Linked DNA regions of Arabidopsis thaliana. The protein of the gene in region 1 interacts with the protein of each later gene in a pairwise test. Each region holds a gene or a part of one and is shown in the gene's direction. Other genes may lie near its edges. The genes, in order: AT4G38520 and SAUR19.

Evidence for each region.
Region 2: the proteins of AT4G38520 (region 1) and SAUR19 interact in a two-hybrid assay, tested with the Arabidopsis thaliana proteins (one study listed by BioGRID).

What each region holds. Positions count from the first base shown.
Region 1 is NC_003075.7:18,015,080-18,024,098, reverse strand, and holds AT4G38520 (Protein phosphatase 2C family protein), read left to right. Parts: upstream 1-5,598; 5' UTR 5,599-6,151; exon of another isoform or gene 6,152-6,416; 5' UTR 6,417-6,584; coding exon 6,585-6,903; intron 6,904-7,043; coding exon 7,044-7,411; intron 7,412-7,501; coding exon 7,502-7,738; intron 7,739-7,821; coding exon 7,822-8,100; 3' UTR 8,101-8,479; downstream 8,480-9,019. Other genes in the region: AT4G38540 (FAD/NAD(P)-binding oxidoreductase family protein), read right to left, coding at 1-143, 224-386, 475-537, 618-764, 833-912; PLC1 (phospholipase C1), read right to left, coding at 1,201-1,515, 1,591-1,821, 1,890-2,007, 2,106-2,494, 2,580-2,715, 2,801-2,997, 3,083-3,391. UniProt on the Arabidopsis thaliana protein: Dephosphorylates and represses plasma membrane H(+)-ATPases (PM H(+)-ATPases, e.g. AHA1 and AHA2), thus influencing negatively plant growth and fitness.
Region 2 is NC_003076.8:5,960,104-5,967,050, reverse strand, and holds SAUR19 (SAUR-like auxin-responsive protein family), read left to right. Parts: upstream 1-3,645; 5' UTR 3,646-3,745; coding exon 3,746-4,018; 3' UTR 4,019-4,278; downstream 4,279-6,947. Other genes in the region: SAUR20 (SAUR-like auxin-responsive protein family), read left to right, coding at 471-746; VDD (VERDANDI), read left to right, coding at 5,578-5,679, 5,966-6,254, 6,358-6,653, 6,744-6,947. UniProt on the Arabidopsis thaliana protein: Provide a mechanistic link between auxin and plasma membrane H(+)-ATPases (PM H(+)-ATPases, e.g.

The sequences.
Region 1 (9,019 bases):
AACTGGAAGAACCTTTTCCCAAATCCATGGCCTTCCGGAAAATGTGTGAGCCCTCGGATTGCTAACCGGGCAGTTGTAGCGGGATTTTTGAAGCCTAGCCACTTACCAACCACTGAGTACACTCCATCGCACCCTACCAAAACCTGCATTTCGTTTAGAAACCCTACAATTCCGTAGCAAGACCAGGCCTCACATGGTTTACAGAGGACAAGTAGTTATTTACCTTGGTTTTGAGAATGGTCCCGTCGGAGAGATGAACCTTCTTGTAGCATCCAGACAATTCAATATGAACAACCTTAGACGAAAACCTGATGGTCTCTTCAGGCAACTCACCTGCTAGAGCCTCTAACAACAGCTTCCTCTGTACGCATCGAGACTCATATTCTCTGACAAAATCATTCAACAATATTATTGAAGTTATCTTATTTATTGTTTTAACATTCATATGCTCTGTGCAGAGAAGAAGAAACATACTCGGATTCTGGAAACAGCATCTCTGTGGGAGGAGTTCCTGCAGAAATTGTTCCAACCACCCATCTGCAGCAAAATCAAAGATGAGTCCCCTTTTTTACTGAGCTGATTATATATGAATAGTAATAATAGTGTTAGTTTGATACCCTTCAAGGCGATCATGGAGACTGCGAATATGCTGAGAAACGCCGAGAGCTTCCATGGCCTTCCAAGCATTGAACCAAGTGGTAAATGCAAATCCTGTCGCTCTCAGTGTCTCCGAAGATTCCAGCACCATGCTTCTGATCCCAAGCCTGTGACACACACCACTTTAGTTAACTTACTCTGCTTAATAACAACTCAAAAGGCACGCCACACACACCTGTGTAGTCCAACAGCGGTGGAAAGGCCGGAGATACCGGCGCCAACGATGATGATATCTGGGCTGCCTTCTTCTTCCATGGTGCGTTGATGATCTTAGAAAGAAAGCTCTGTTTTTCTTCCTCTCTAGTATTTATTTTTAACTTTCAAGTAAACAAAAAGAAATGTGGTTGAAGTTGGCAAGTCAAACAAGGCACCCCGTTCTAGGCAGGCGGCTACAGTCATCAAATATCGAATCTTTAATAGTATTTATATGTTGTCACACTTTATCCCGTTCTAGCTAGGGCGCAAATAATTGTACATTATAAATTTATAAACGTGCAAACAGAGATACACACTGTGTGGCTTATTTCGGAAAGAAAACGAGATTCAACGAAACGTATAAGGAGGATCCAAGGCGAAGCTGACGAGAAGCCTCGTGTTCTTGTAGGCCTTGCCTGTTCGATCGTGAAGCCGGACGGCTCTAACTCCGGACTTCAGTTCCGGCAGAGGAAGACATGTCTGTCCTGCGAAATCATTCTGGGTGTCATTGTCGTAGTCTTGGACTTTGAACCACAGAAGCGCCAGTTCTGGAACAGACAGCTGAAACAGGAACTCGTCGTTGCCCCATATAGGAAACCACTGATCGACAGCTGTTTCCGTTCTGTATGAGACCGTGTCTCTCGGTACTCCTGCTATTCCAATCTGATGCAGCAAATGCAACACACACACAGTTACGAAGAAATCTAGTTTAAAAGAAGAGTAGTAGTTGTTGTTTACCTTGACGAAGAAATCTGGAGGAGAGTATTGATCAAAGTGTGTATGATGGAAATCCAAATCCCATCCTTCGCCAGTGTAAATCTTAACCTTAAGAGTGGTCTTAATGGGAAACCTTTTGCAAGGGTCGAAGAGTGTGTGCTCGTCTAGCAAGATGCGAGGCTTTTTAACGTACCCACATCCACCATTCCCCCTGAACATTCCTTGCATTATCCATAGTTGCTTCCCATGTCCCTTTTCAACACAAATATTATTCAACCATTTTTTAACAAGTCAAACGATGATGAGCCAGTTCCACTTACTTGCATGTTAAAAGCAACCATTTGAGCACCGTGTGTCCACCCAACATGAGGATCGTAGTTTGACGAGTCCACTCTTGTGCCCTTTGGATATATCCTCACCAGATTCCTCTGTGTAAACCTGTTTTTGTTTTTTTTCAAACTCTGACTCAGGTTCATCTTATAACTCTTGAGTCGAAAAAGGTTCAACATTATGACTCCTCTCACTCTATATTTTACCTGACAAGATCCGTTCCTCTGGTCCTAACCATAGTGTCTAGCCACTGCTCGTCCATGCTGACCCGTATAGGCTTCTCTGGATCATCACTCAAGCAATCCTTTGAAGGATCTTTGCAGTTTGCAGCGTGGATTGCTATCAAGTCTCTATATCCTACAGCTTCACTCTCCATATCTTTATATTCTTCAAGAATCTTGTTCGCTACTCTGTTCCACGAAGTCTCTTTAACCGTTGGAGTTCTTGTGGTGTGTACAGTTTTGCTCTCAAGATACTCCTTTGGAGGCTTCGTAGAGATCAGGATCTTCCCCTTAAGTTCTTCTGGTGATGGAAAATGCTTAAAACTCTCTGAGACACGACGAAACAGCATCCCTCTGTATGTTTTAGTTAACATCTACAAACATAGAATCAATCAAATTTGTAAATCACTCTTTTTCAGAGAACGAAATATATACTCTGTTTCTGCAAAACCAACTTACCTTAGCAACTTGCGCTTGAAGCTTGGGTGGCAAATGATCTTCGAGAGTGATGATGACTGGATAGTCAGACACATGAAACGCGTTATCCTTAATGGCGGTTAGACATTTCTGCAAATCTTCATGCGAAGTAAGCGTCCTGATGAGAGAACCAAAACACATATAGTGTGTGACATTTTTTGGAGTCTGTTTGTTGATTATAAGACTTCGTTAGTGGGACCAACCTGCCATGACGAACTTCAGCAGCGTTCCCTGAAGGATTAGGCCATAAGTCGAGCTCGATCACTTTTACGCCTTTTCTGAGAGCCTGCACGATCGGTTCTACGCTGCTTCTGCTGTTCACTTGGTTCCCAGTCAAGTAAGAGTTATGTCCCGTGTACACAAAGTAATGCGATAACGGCGCCTTCATGTCATGATGCACCTTAACCCAACCAAGAACATATAATATACCCAATTACAAAACCATTTGTGAAATAAATCCATAAAAAGTTTCCAAACTTAGATACCTGGCCAGACATGGGAAGAGGAGAGTTGGTATCGCTGAAGAGGTAGCGATAGAAGGCGTTGAGATGAACAAGTCCATGGTGATGAAAAACGTTGTGGTGTTTAACGCTGTGGAAGATATCTTGCACGTAGTCCAACCCTGCGTGCCGTTCTCCTTGGACTTCACTCACAAATCTTAGAAGCTCATCGAAAGACATCTTGCCGTTTCTTGAGTAAGCTTCGAAGAGTCTCTTGATGCTCACTGGTGGCTGCCTCGTTTTCTCCTTAAAGCTTCTGCTGCAACAGAAGCACACTTTGAAACTCTCCGACATTCTTCTTCTTCTTACTTGTTAGTTCTGAGATCATATATTACACACACACATAAGTTAGCGTATATGATATGAAGCAAACAAAAGTGATGAAGAATATATGCTCGTGTTATCATCTCAAGGAACGTGTCTCGCTATTCCAATTACTTAATTATTCTTATTTTGAACTAAATTTGTTTATTTATGGCTATAAAAACCTTATAAAAGATTTAAATACACTTATATATGCATGGGTCCGAGGAAAACATAAAGGATCTATTAAACACTTTGTCACGTCTTTTCTAATGGGGATATATACTGGCTTTTTGCGGTGCAAATAAAAGAGACCACTTTGAGCAGCATCAAATCTATTAATAATTTTGTAAGATTAAACTTTTCAAACAAATCATCAACTAGCCGTAATATATCTAGTAAGAGACAATAATTCATTTTGAGTGATATTCAGTGGATGTTATCGTAACCATATTTGGGTAATACGATCCCTTTGTCGGTCTTTCCCATGAGTCATATGTGAAATAGGTTCAGGGCATCAGAGAAGTTACATTGGCGAAATGATGCATAATATAGTATATCATGTTACATGGGTTTTTTTTGCTTTGGTGATTTTCAGAGATCGATGCATGATATATTATGGGTTTGGGATCCATGTATCATGAATGATTGACGTATACCTAAACCTAATAACTAAATTTTACTTCAACATATATATCATCAACATGATTTTTTTTTTTTCTTTTTTAACATTCTTATCGTTATTTTTAATTAAAAGATAGTATTCGTACATAACTTTGCATTATATTTTAAGTTCTACTATTTAAGAAACCTATATAATTTGTTTATAATTACCGTAGTAGTAAATTTACTAAAAAATTCTAGCTTAGTAGTTGTGATTATGATCTTTTTTTAAAAGATATTTTTGTGAAGTAAATGTGAAGGGTTTATATATACACGTTCATATATAAGTGAAAGTATTGGCATATTGGGAGATGATTGGATAACGAAGTTGGTCCTGAAGTGAAAGGTTCAGAGTGGTTGGATTTTTGTGTGATTGATGGAAGCTATGTTCTGTAAGTAGGGACCTTCTCCACAGTCCACACCACCCTTTTCTCTATTTTTAGGTCTCCCTTATTATTGTTATCTTTATAAATCAATTTTTGGTTATGTAAGTTCACATATATTGACACTCGGCGAGATACCATGGGAGCATGCATGATGGGAAGTATATACATTTGTTGGTGAAAAAAGTATGAAAAAGTTCGCATATACATCAATTTGGTCCCGCAAAATTAGATTATCTAGAACTTAGTGATAATTATCGTGGACGTATTCATGTTTTAGAAGCAGGCTTTTGAGTTTCTCACTTAATTCATAGTTCTGTTTTTCTTTATTGAGCTGAAATTTTTATAGTTGATTCTTCTATTATTGGTACTACAAAAGTATAAATAACTACAAAGAGTCGATGGGGAGAAAAGGGCCAAATTTAGTGGTACATACATTAATATAAAATTAAATAATGTTAGGTAAAGTGACATATCTCACTTTATCCCAATCACTTTCGGGTCCCAAATTTTTTTAAATATTTGTTATTCAATTTTTCATTCTTCAAGCCCAAGCCTCTTCTCTATATATTTTTTTAAAATTTTAATCTCAGGGTCCTGGACCACCACTTTTATGGGCATTAAACGTTTGATACAAATTGTGTGGGGAAATTAAAAATGAAAGATTCATGAATCCACATATATTATTTCTAGACTGTACATGTATTTTATTTTATATGCACACTGCTTAAAATCTTGATTATAATTTACGAGGAGTAGTTTTAACGAAGAAAGAAAAAAACACATGGAGTAAGTAAAAGAAATAAATCTTGGTGACAGAAAAACAAAAGTACTCGTGTAGTTTTATCAGTCGTAGTCATGTAACACCGCCACATAACCAAATTTTATCGAAACCGTATATTTTTACTCTTCTTTGATTTGTGTTAAGAGATTTTATTAAACGTTGAAGAAAAATCTTCCGTTTGACCCCAGTTTATGATAATGTCTAAAGTAAAAGAGTTGAATATTTTTAAAATAAAGAGGAGACTTGAATGAATTATTATATCAATAATATCAACTATTTTATTTTCTTCCCTAAAAAAACTGTAATATTATTCTTTGCCACTGTTTGGTGTTGTCCATCTAATGAGGCAAAAAAGGACGAGAGGGAAGTGGAGCCCGAAAGCTGGGACCTTTGATGTGCTGGCTCCGACCTCGCCATCGTTGGTCTTTTATGGGTCTTGTCTGGTAAGAATCACTCTTAGTCTTAAGACTATAGAGAGAGATAAAGAGAGAAGATAAAAAAAACAACTCCAACTTTCTTTCTTTTTTTTACATAAAAACGTCGAAGGAGGATGTCTCGTTCGGCGACTTGACCTCTCTCTCTCTCTCTCTTTTACCTTCATTGTTCACTGTTTCCAGACATTGAAAGAAAGATCATTAGTTTCTGAGGGGATAACCATTTTTTTTTCTTCTTAAAAAGTTTTTTTTTTTGTCAATTGGTCTTCTTCTTCCTCATCCGCTCGCTTATATTTAATTTAATAATAATAAAAATCGGTGTTCATTTTTATATAAAAGTATAAATTTTGTGTTTGGTTGATCCATCCGTAGTCGTAGTAGATCTACAAGCTCTGAAATTCCACGCCCACATCTCCTCCGTCCTCTTGAGATCCTTCTCTTCATTCATTTTCTTGCTCAACTTGAGTTGCTTCCAACATCTTGCAAGGTAAAGTTTCCTTTTTTTTGGTAGCGAATACGAACCAGTTGGAATCTGCCGCATAAATCCTTTTGTTTTTTTTTCTTGCTTGCCGCATCACTAATTTTGCTTTCTTCCGATGGTTTCCTTACTTAAAGATGTTAACTTTTCAATGTTGCATCAAGTTTCTTAGATTGTTCAATCACTAGACTAATCAGTCTCACTATAATCTCCTACAGATTCATTTCTATTGCCACTCATAACAATTGAGTTTTCTCACTTTTTTGCTCTTTAGATTGTCTTTGAGTTCATTCAGGTCTTGAAGAAGAGCACTCTTTTAAGCTGTGTGAAACTTGCGCCGTTCCTGTGAAGAACTACTTTTGGCATTGCAGATTTCAGAGAGCTGTGATTTGTGCTATCTTAAAAACGGACAAGTTCTATGTTGTGGCGGATGAGATGAGGGATGCTATCTGGGTTGATGAATTTTCTGAATGCCTGTCTCTGGCCACGGTCAGATCAGCAGGCTCGTTCTGCCTCAGATTCTGGTGGCCGCCAAGAGGGTTTGCTCTGGTTCAGAGACTCCGGCCAGCACGTCTTTGGTGACTTCTCCATGGCCGTCGTTCAAGCCAACAGCTTGCTAGAGGACCAGAGCCAGCTCGAGTCTGGCTCTCTTAGCTCCCACGACTCTGGTCCCTTTGGCACCTTTGTTGGCGTCTACGACGGCCACGGTGGGCCTGAGACATCTCGCTTCATCAATGATCATATGTTCCACCACCTCAAGAGTGAGTCGCTCAACCTATGCTTTTAACTCTTGTTTGGATTAGCTAATCTAGAAAGGAAATATAGAAGCATTTCTCTAATAGCAGCACTAGTCCAGAAAATGGTTCTAGTTTTGATCTCTCATCTTTTATGTTATGCACAGGGTTTACTGCAGAGCAACAGTGTATGTCATCAGAGGTGATAAAAAAAGCGTTCCAAGCCACTGAAGAAGGCTTCTTATCCATAGTTACAAATCAATTTCAAACTAGACCTCAGATAGCCACAGTGGGATCATGCTGTCTTGTAAGTGTCATCTGCGATGGGAAGCTATACGTGGCCAACGCAGGGGACTCACGGGCCGTTCTGGGACAAGTCATGAGGGTAACAGGTGAAGCTCATGCCACTCAGCTCTCAGCAGAGCACAACGCATCTATAGAGTCAGTGAGACGGGAACTTCAGGCCCTGCATCCGGATCATCCAGATATTGTGGTTCTGAAACATAACGTCTGGCGAGTAAAAGGCATCATTCAGGTATTTAATAAACTAGAGTTGGACTAAATCTGTTTTTGTATGTCTTACAATTCCTGTTGTCTTTCTGAGTGGCTTTATGACTATACTCAGGTTTCAAGATCCATTGGTGATGTGTATTTGAAAAGGTCAGAGTTCAACAGGGAACCACTGTATGCAAAATTCCGGCTGAGGTCACCGTTCAGCAAGCCATTACTGAGTGCAGAGCCGGCGATCACGGTGCATACACTGGAGCCGCACGATCAGTTCATTATATGTGCATCAGATGGACTGTGGGAACATATGAGCAACCAAGAAGCAGTAGACATAGTCCAGAATCATCCGCGAAACGTGAGAACACACACCCCACTCTGTTTGTACTACTAGACTATATATAAAGAATGCACATAATAATAAGGACTCTTTAATGGCAGGGGATAGCAAAGCGGCTGGTGAAAGTAGCGCTACAAGAAGCGGCAAAGAAGAGAGAGATGAGATACTCAGACCTGAAAAAGATAGACAGAGGAGTGAGGAGACATTTCCACGATGACATAACAGTGATTGTTGTCTTCTTTGATACAAACCTAGTGAGCAGAGGAAGTATGTTGAGAGGACCAGCCGTGTCAGTGAGAGGAGCGGGTGTGAATCTACCTCACAACACCCTGGCGCCTTGCACCACGCCCACTCAAGCTGCTGCTGCTGGCGCCTCCTGACTATTGAATTTTTACGGTGTCCTTAAAATTCTTTCCAAGATCCTTCCTGTAACTATATATAAATATATATATTTGATTATTATTATCATTGACTGGGAAAGGATATATCATCATCAAGTGGGAAAGGATATATCATAATCAAGTGGTTAGTTTTGTTTGTTCCCTTTGTTAGCTGTGTACTGGAGAAAGAAAGGTGACAAGAATTCTTCTTCTTCTTCATTAATTTTCATTGCTTGCTTTTTAAGGTATTACTGATTCAGACTAGAGAAACTCAGCTTATTCTCAGACCATGGCCTTACAAAACACATGGCCTTTGGTATGCAGTTGTGTTCTGAACCAATCAATAAGTCTCAGCTCTCATATAATCTCGCCTGAGAGTTTTCAACTTTTCTTAAAATGAAATTTTTAGATTTTTTCTCTCATTATTAAATCTCTCGGAAATGCAAATAGCAAAGAGTTTAACACATATATCAATCAATACTTGATTTATTCTTTTCTTTTTTGAAAAAAAATAAAGAAAATTATTAAATTTTGATAAATACTATTTTGTATTAATTACTAATTAGTAAACTTATGATTTTCTAAAAGACCATAATTTTCTGTAAAATCTAAAAATAGCGGGACAAAATAAATCTTACCAAACTAGGTTTTCTTATAACTTAGGTGTTTTAAATAAAATAAAAAAATCATACCAAATTAAGTAGAACGTTGGATATGTTTTTTTTCTCTTCAAAAATTTTAAAGTATAAAGATGAGAAAATGATTAATGTGATAATATGGGAAAGTAAAAGGCTATAAATGTAATTAGCTGAAAGTTATGAAACTGATTGAATTGAAATCGGTGGTATGTATGTATAGTCCACCAACATAGATCTCTCTCTTGCTGTGGCTCCTTTCTTCCTCTACACAGATCTTTGGA
Region 2 (6,947 bases), on another chromosome or scaffold:
GTTGAGAAACTTCAGGTCCCCACTTTTAAGTTGTTATTAAATCCATTTAGACCACAGAGAATCAAAAATAGGATCATCACAGAACATGGAGAAGAGAAACTTGCTGGTCTTTTATCTAAAAACATTGAGAAAACAGTCCCTTGTGAATTGCATATGGATTTTGTTTTTAGTTTAATGTCCCACAATCAATTAATTATCTCATCAAGACAAACTGCATTAATGCATCTTTTCCAAATGGTAGAGACAGAACCATGTTCTCTGTTCTAGTCTGTCCAACACTTCAAGACCACAAGTTTCAATGATTTTTTCAGAGAGGTTTCAACTCATTAGTAGTTGATCTTTCTATATATACACTCATAAACCCATTCTTTCAATCATCAACAAACAACAAGCAATCCAATAACTTGAATCTTTTCATACATCTTCAGAAGATTTTAAAGAATTTAATATTCGAAACAAAAACAATAGATATGGCTTTTGTGAGAAGTCTATTGGGAGCAAAGAAGATTCTAAGCCGCTCCACCACAGCAGCCTCGGCGGCACCAAAAGGGTTTCTTGCAGTGTACGTAGGTGAGAGCCAAAAGAAGAGATATCTGGTGCCAATCTCATATTTAAACCAGCCTTCATTTCAAGCTCTTCTCAGTAAATCCGAGGAAGAGTTTGGATTCGATCATCCAATGGGTGGCTTAACGATCCCCTGTCCTGAAGATACATTCATCAATGTGACTTCTCGGTTCCAACGATGATGAGCCAACATTTTTCTTCCTAGTTAGAAATAGACTTATTCATTGTAAATACATGAGCTTTTTTCTCTTTCTTCTTGAAAGAGTTGTTCTAAAAGTTTAGAGAGTAAATGCCATCTTTATGCAACAGAAACGATTCATGTCAATACATTTTTGATCTTTCATTGAAAAATGAAAAGATAACACCAATGACCAAACCAATTGGAACTACTCTAATGATAGTTTCATGTTGATTAAGTACAATTAAGTGGAACATATAACATCCGGATCCGTGGCGCAATGGTAGCGCGTCTGACTCCAGATCAGAAGGTTGCGTGTTCGATTCACGTCGGGTTCAATTCCCCGAACTTTACTCCGGATATTCTTTTTAAAAAAATCCAGACTTTGCCCTTCGCTTTCATTCGATAAACTAAACACAACTGTTTAGGGTTTGAAGAAAGTAAAAGTGTGTTTGCGATCCGCCATGGATTCAAAGAAAGAGAAAACGGGAGGGATCATAGGAATCTTCTTAACCCAAAATGCTGCTTCCTTGGCACGAAGCTTCTACGCCATGTTGTGTATTTTGATCTGAAGAGAAACAGTATAAGAGAAACTAAGTTTAAAGGAATTGTAGGAAACTCAAGGGATTTGGATTTGGTCCACTCAATGATTTAGATGTTTTCCCAAATCACATTGAGAGTCTCTTGTCCTTGTAAGAACATTCACCGCTCGATGCTAGTTCTTCATCATTCATTTATTAGATTTTGAGATTGTTTGATGATGTCTTTAGGTTTTCTTGTAATGATTTGTAATTATTCCTTAATCTCAAGATATTTATCCCAGCATGTTATATAACAATGTGGATAGTGCAAACTATTGTTGTAGTCTGTATAAACAGAGACTGCTCTGTTTCTAGCATTTTTCATGCGAGCCACGTTTGCTTATTCATATTCAAAAACGGACAAAATCAAGCAGAGAATCACAATCAAGAACAGAACTTGCCAGCCATTTGCTTATTACTTCTCTGGCTTTTTATCATGAGATCCAATGAGAAATGTTTTGGAGAAGCTCAAGGTTGTGAAGATGATGGTGTAGGTGGCCTTGTTCCATGGCCGTTGGTGTTGAAATATGTCTCTTTATGTCTTTGAATTTTCCTCTGTCTGACAAAGAATGGGCGTGTTTAATTTTGAAGGGTGTTACTGATGCTGGTGAGTTTGTTTATACGCCAATGAGTGTGTATGAATCCTTCCATGTGGTGTATTTTGATCCAAAGAGAAAGAGTATTAGAGTAACCAAAATTAAAGGAATTGCAAATGACCTATATAGACGACTTAAAGGGCTCAGACTCGATTCTCTCAATGATCTCGATGTTTTCCCAAATAACATTGAGAGACTCTTGTTGTTGTAAGATCATTAATGGCTCAATGCTATTAATCACTTATGCGATATTAAGCTTCTTTGATTTCCTTAGGCTTTTCTTGTCATGATTTGTGATCATTCCTATGGTTTTACTATCATAACATGTTATAGAACAATTAATGTGGATACTGGATACTGCATGCAGACTATTGCATAAGATCCGTAAAACCCGAGACTGGTCTGTTCCTAGCATTTGTCAAGTGAGCCACGTCTCCTTCTTCAAATATTAAGATCAGGACGTACGACAAAAGCAACCAGAGAAATCACAACCAAGAACCACAAGCAAATGTAGCGAACTCAAACCCTCATGAAGTCTAGTTTAGCTTATCGTTGCTCGTCTTTTGTATCCACATTCATTTATCACGTTAGCATCTGGACGACAAAACCATCTAAACTCTCTTCTTATGTGTCCACTCTTACATCCACAAGTTTCAGAAGATTTCCGAGAGGCTTTTAAATTCGCTCAGGGAGTGCTAAAAAGGGTTTCTTGTAGTATACGAAACTCTCAAAACATCAATTCTAAGATGTGAGAAAGTGAAAAAAAATTGGTTATTAAGTGAGTGTCTTTACTATGCAGGATCATATTGATATACATTTTTGGTTATATTCCAAATATAGATTTTCATAAAATAATAGTTTTACATAAAATAGGTGTTGAAACTGTCCTTTTGCTTGTAGCCTCTACAGAAAAGCCGATAATCTTCTTTGAACTCAAGAGGCCTCTGAACAAAGCCATTTCTTGAGTCTGGAAAATCTAAATTTGAAGCTTCTGAGAAAAAGTTAGATGCTCAAAATTTTGAGGTCTGGATTGCTTCACTACTTGGTGAAGAGTTGGTTCTGTCTCTGGATGTATAAATAGATTGATAAAAGACTTCAAATCACCCTGAAACCATTCAAAGTAGGGGTGAGACATACACAAAGATAGTTTCACATGGTTCTGTTTTTTAGGTATGATAGATGACAAGTTGACAACGGAAGCTAATGAGCATTATCATCACTTCACAAGGGTCTGTCTTCTCCATGTCTGTATAATAAATGAAGAGAAGAAGTGAGGTATTCAGTCTCTTTTAGTTTTCATGTGTGGATATAATCAAAGAACAACTAGAGAGTGACATTGAATTGTTGTTCTGTTGTTGAATAACATTCAGGTCCCCACTTTAACTTCTTAATAAATCCATTTCGACTGCAGAGATTAGAGTACTATAGGACAAAGAACCAACCACCTAATCATCACAGAACCTGCTGTCTTTGTTCTTGCAAATATAGGGCACGTCTTATCTCAGAAACATTGAGAAAGCAAGCCCTTGTGAAATTTCACATGGAGATTATTTAAGTAGATAAATTTCATTAATGCATCTTTTCCAGATGGTAAAGACAGAACCATGTGAACTCTTGCTCTAGTCTGTCCCACGCTTCAAGACCACAGTTTCAATGACTTTTTCAGAGAAGTTTCAAATCGTTCATTGATATTTCTATATATACACCCATAACCCCATTATTTCTATCATCAACCAACAACAAGCATTCCAATAACTTGAATCTTTTCATACATCTTCAAGAGCTTCATAATAATTCAAACTTCTTTTATTTAAAATAAAATAAAAATGGCTTTCGTGAGAAGTCTATTGGGAGCAAAGAAGATTCTAAGCCGCTCCACCGCAGCAGGATCTGCGGCACCAAAAGGGTTTCTTGCGGTGTACGTAGGAGAGAGCCAGAAGAAGAGATATTTGGTGCCGCTCTCATACTTGAGCCAACCGTCATTTCAAGCTCTGCTCAGTAAATCCGAAGAAGAGTTTGGGTTTGCTCATCCGATGGGTGGCTTAACGATCCCTTGTCCCGAAGATACTTTCATCAATGTGACTTCTCGGCTCCAATGAAGATGATCCAACATTTTTTCCTTCAGTTAGAAATAGACTTATTCATTGTAAATACATGAGCTTTTTTCTCTTTCTTCTTGAAAGAGTTGTTCTAAAAGTGTAGAAAGTGAAATACAAAATTAATGTTATATACAAACTTCATGTCAATACATTTTTGATCGCTCATTGAAAAAGAAAGACGACACCAAATTCATCAATCAAAAAACTACTCTAATTATAGTTTCATGTTGATTAAAAACAATTAAGTGGAACATCTAACATCCGGATCCGTGGCGCAATGGTAGCGCGTCTGACTCCAGATCAGAAGGTTGCGTGTTCGATTCACGTCGGGTTCAATCCCCCGAACTTTATTCCGGATATCTTTTTGTTTTACCTGCTTATTTCCAATTTTTGCCTTTTGATGCACTACCCCCGGTTCGGGATTCTTGTTACTCTAACCGAGAATTTCAGATCCGGTTTTAGTATTTGTTTGCTACTCTGAATTAGACGGAAACAAATAACAAATGACCACTTTTAACTTACACAATTTATCAGTGGCTGGCTCTTACGTATAGTGTGGGGGTTACATTTAGTTGATGTCTCCAGTGACATTTGATTATAGTTTTCAAGATATTGTCAAGCAAAAAGGAAAAGAAATTTACTTTTGAATTCCAAACTTCTGTTTGTATTTTATTCTATAAATAACATTGCTTTCTCCTTCCAAATAATAAAGACAAGTATACATTGCCCAAAAAGGAAAACTATAGAGACACGCACTAGTTAGGGTTGATGTGGACTGGATCCGATCCCTTTCTTCAATGATTTATTGATACGTATCTGTTACGCTGAATATACATATATGCATGTTTCTTTTGGTATTTTAGAGTACTAATGTATATTCTATAGTTTGATCCCAAAAAAAAACATGTATAGTCTGTAGTATTTTTATTTTTTTAGCTAAGTTTTCAAACATGTAGCTTGTATAAAGTTAATAGGGGTATGTGCTGGACACAAGTCTACATTCTACAGACTAGCTAGTAAATATTAGGAATGAGGTTTTCAAATGGGTGATTAACCAAAATTTGCCGTGAATGTATTTTAGTACAGTATAAGTTAATTAATAGTTTATGCAACCAAAAAAAAAAATATGGAAATATGACGCTGTCTTTTTAGAATTCAGTTACTAAAAATAGGAATTTGCTCTGCTTTTTACGTGTCTGGGAAGTCACGAGCATATTGCTGTTTCTGTGTATCATTACGATATCAAATTACGAATCACAAAAGTTTAATGATTCATGGGAATCTTTTCCAACTAACCACAAGTAAAATTAATTTCAAAGTTAATGCAGAAAAATAAAACACTTTGGCTGTTTTTAGAAATTAAAGTTTTAAGAGACCTCTCTTTTTACCCATTCTTTGCCCACAACCAGAGAGAGAGAAAGAGAAGTAGCGAGTGAGTGAGATAGAAAAGTTGAAAAGAGAAGATGCGAGTGAGTGACTGAGGAGATAGAGTGAAGAGGATTAAAGAGTTAAGACTGAGAGGTTTTGAAGAAAGATCATATCGAAGGAGAGAAGCAGAGATGGTGAAAAACAAAGCTTTTTTTGGTCAGATTATGGAAGAAAGAGATAATCCAGCATTCTTCAAGATTCTTCGAAGGGAAGATCATTCGACTGAAATGATGGTAAGCCTTATCACTTATTTTCTTATTAGCCTTTTTTCTTAAATTAAAGATCGAATCTATTGGTTCTTCAGTGTGTCTCTTGTAGTGTCCTGAACTTAGATCTGTCTGTTCTTGGTCTTAACTAAGTTTTGATGTGTGAAATGATCGGATCGGACCAAATGGATTTTGACTGTACATCGATCAGTAAACTTTTATTTACTGTACTTATCACTGAAATTGAGGAATGTGACTTCATTTTACCATTTCCTGATGTTCCATATTTCTTGATTTTGTTGCCTCTCTGAAGAGAATGATTCCTCATCACTTGATAAGAAGCATCTCCGACAAGTCTTCATCGTTTAAGATGGTCTTAAGAGTACCATGGGGAAGGTCATGGCAAGTTAAAATCTCCAAGAACCCAAATTTTCACTACATGGAAGATCGTGGATGGAACCAGTTTGTGAATGACAACGGTTTGGGTGAAAACGAGTATCTTACTTTCACTCATGAGGCAAATATGTGCTTTAATGTAACCATATTCGAGGCAGATGGTACGGAGATGCTTAGACCAAGAAAAACCATTACTTCTAGTTCCGGTAAGTGTTCATCATCTATGTTATTGCTTTCTTTATGCTTAAGAAGAAGAAGAAGAAGAATACAGTCATTAGTTACTTCTGTGGTTGATTTTGATGCAAACAGGTCGGAACAAGAGAGAAGAGAGGAAGAGCATCTACAAAGATGTGAAGAAGGAAGAAGAGATAGAGTCTTGGTCTGAATCGAGCCATCCTTGTCACAAAACAGCTGAATCTACAAGTGGGAGATTGACGCAGAAACAGGAGCTTAACTTGAGAAAGAAGGAAGCCGATAAAACCGAAAAATCCAAGACGAGTAAGAAGAAGAAGGTGGAAACTGTTAGTAACGACTCTGAAGCCGGTACTTCATCTCTTATTCCAGAATTCAAGCTCACCATAAAGAAATCACACCTTCTGTTCTTGGTAAGATTAAGCAAGACAAGACCAGTGACACACTGTCGAAATGGCTATGTATAAAAGTGTGTATTAATCTAATGAAAATCTGTGATTCAGGGGATCCCAAAGAAATTTGTGGATATGCATATGCCAACTGAGACAACGATGTTCAAGATTCATTATCCGAGAGGAAAGAAGTCATGGGATGTTACATATGTGGTCACTGATGTACAATCAAGATTCTCTGGTGGATGGAGTCGTTTGGCCAAGGAGTTAGGTTTACTGGTCGGAGATGTTTGTACGTTCAAGCTCATCAAACCG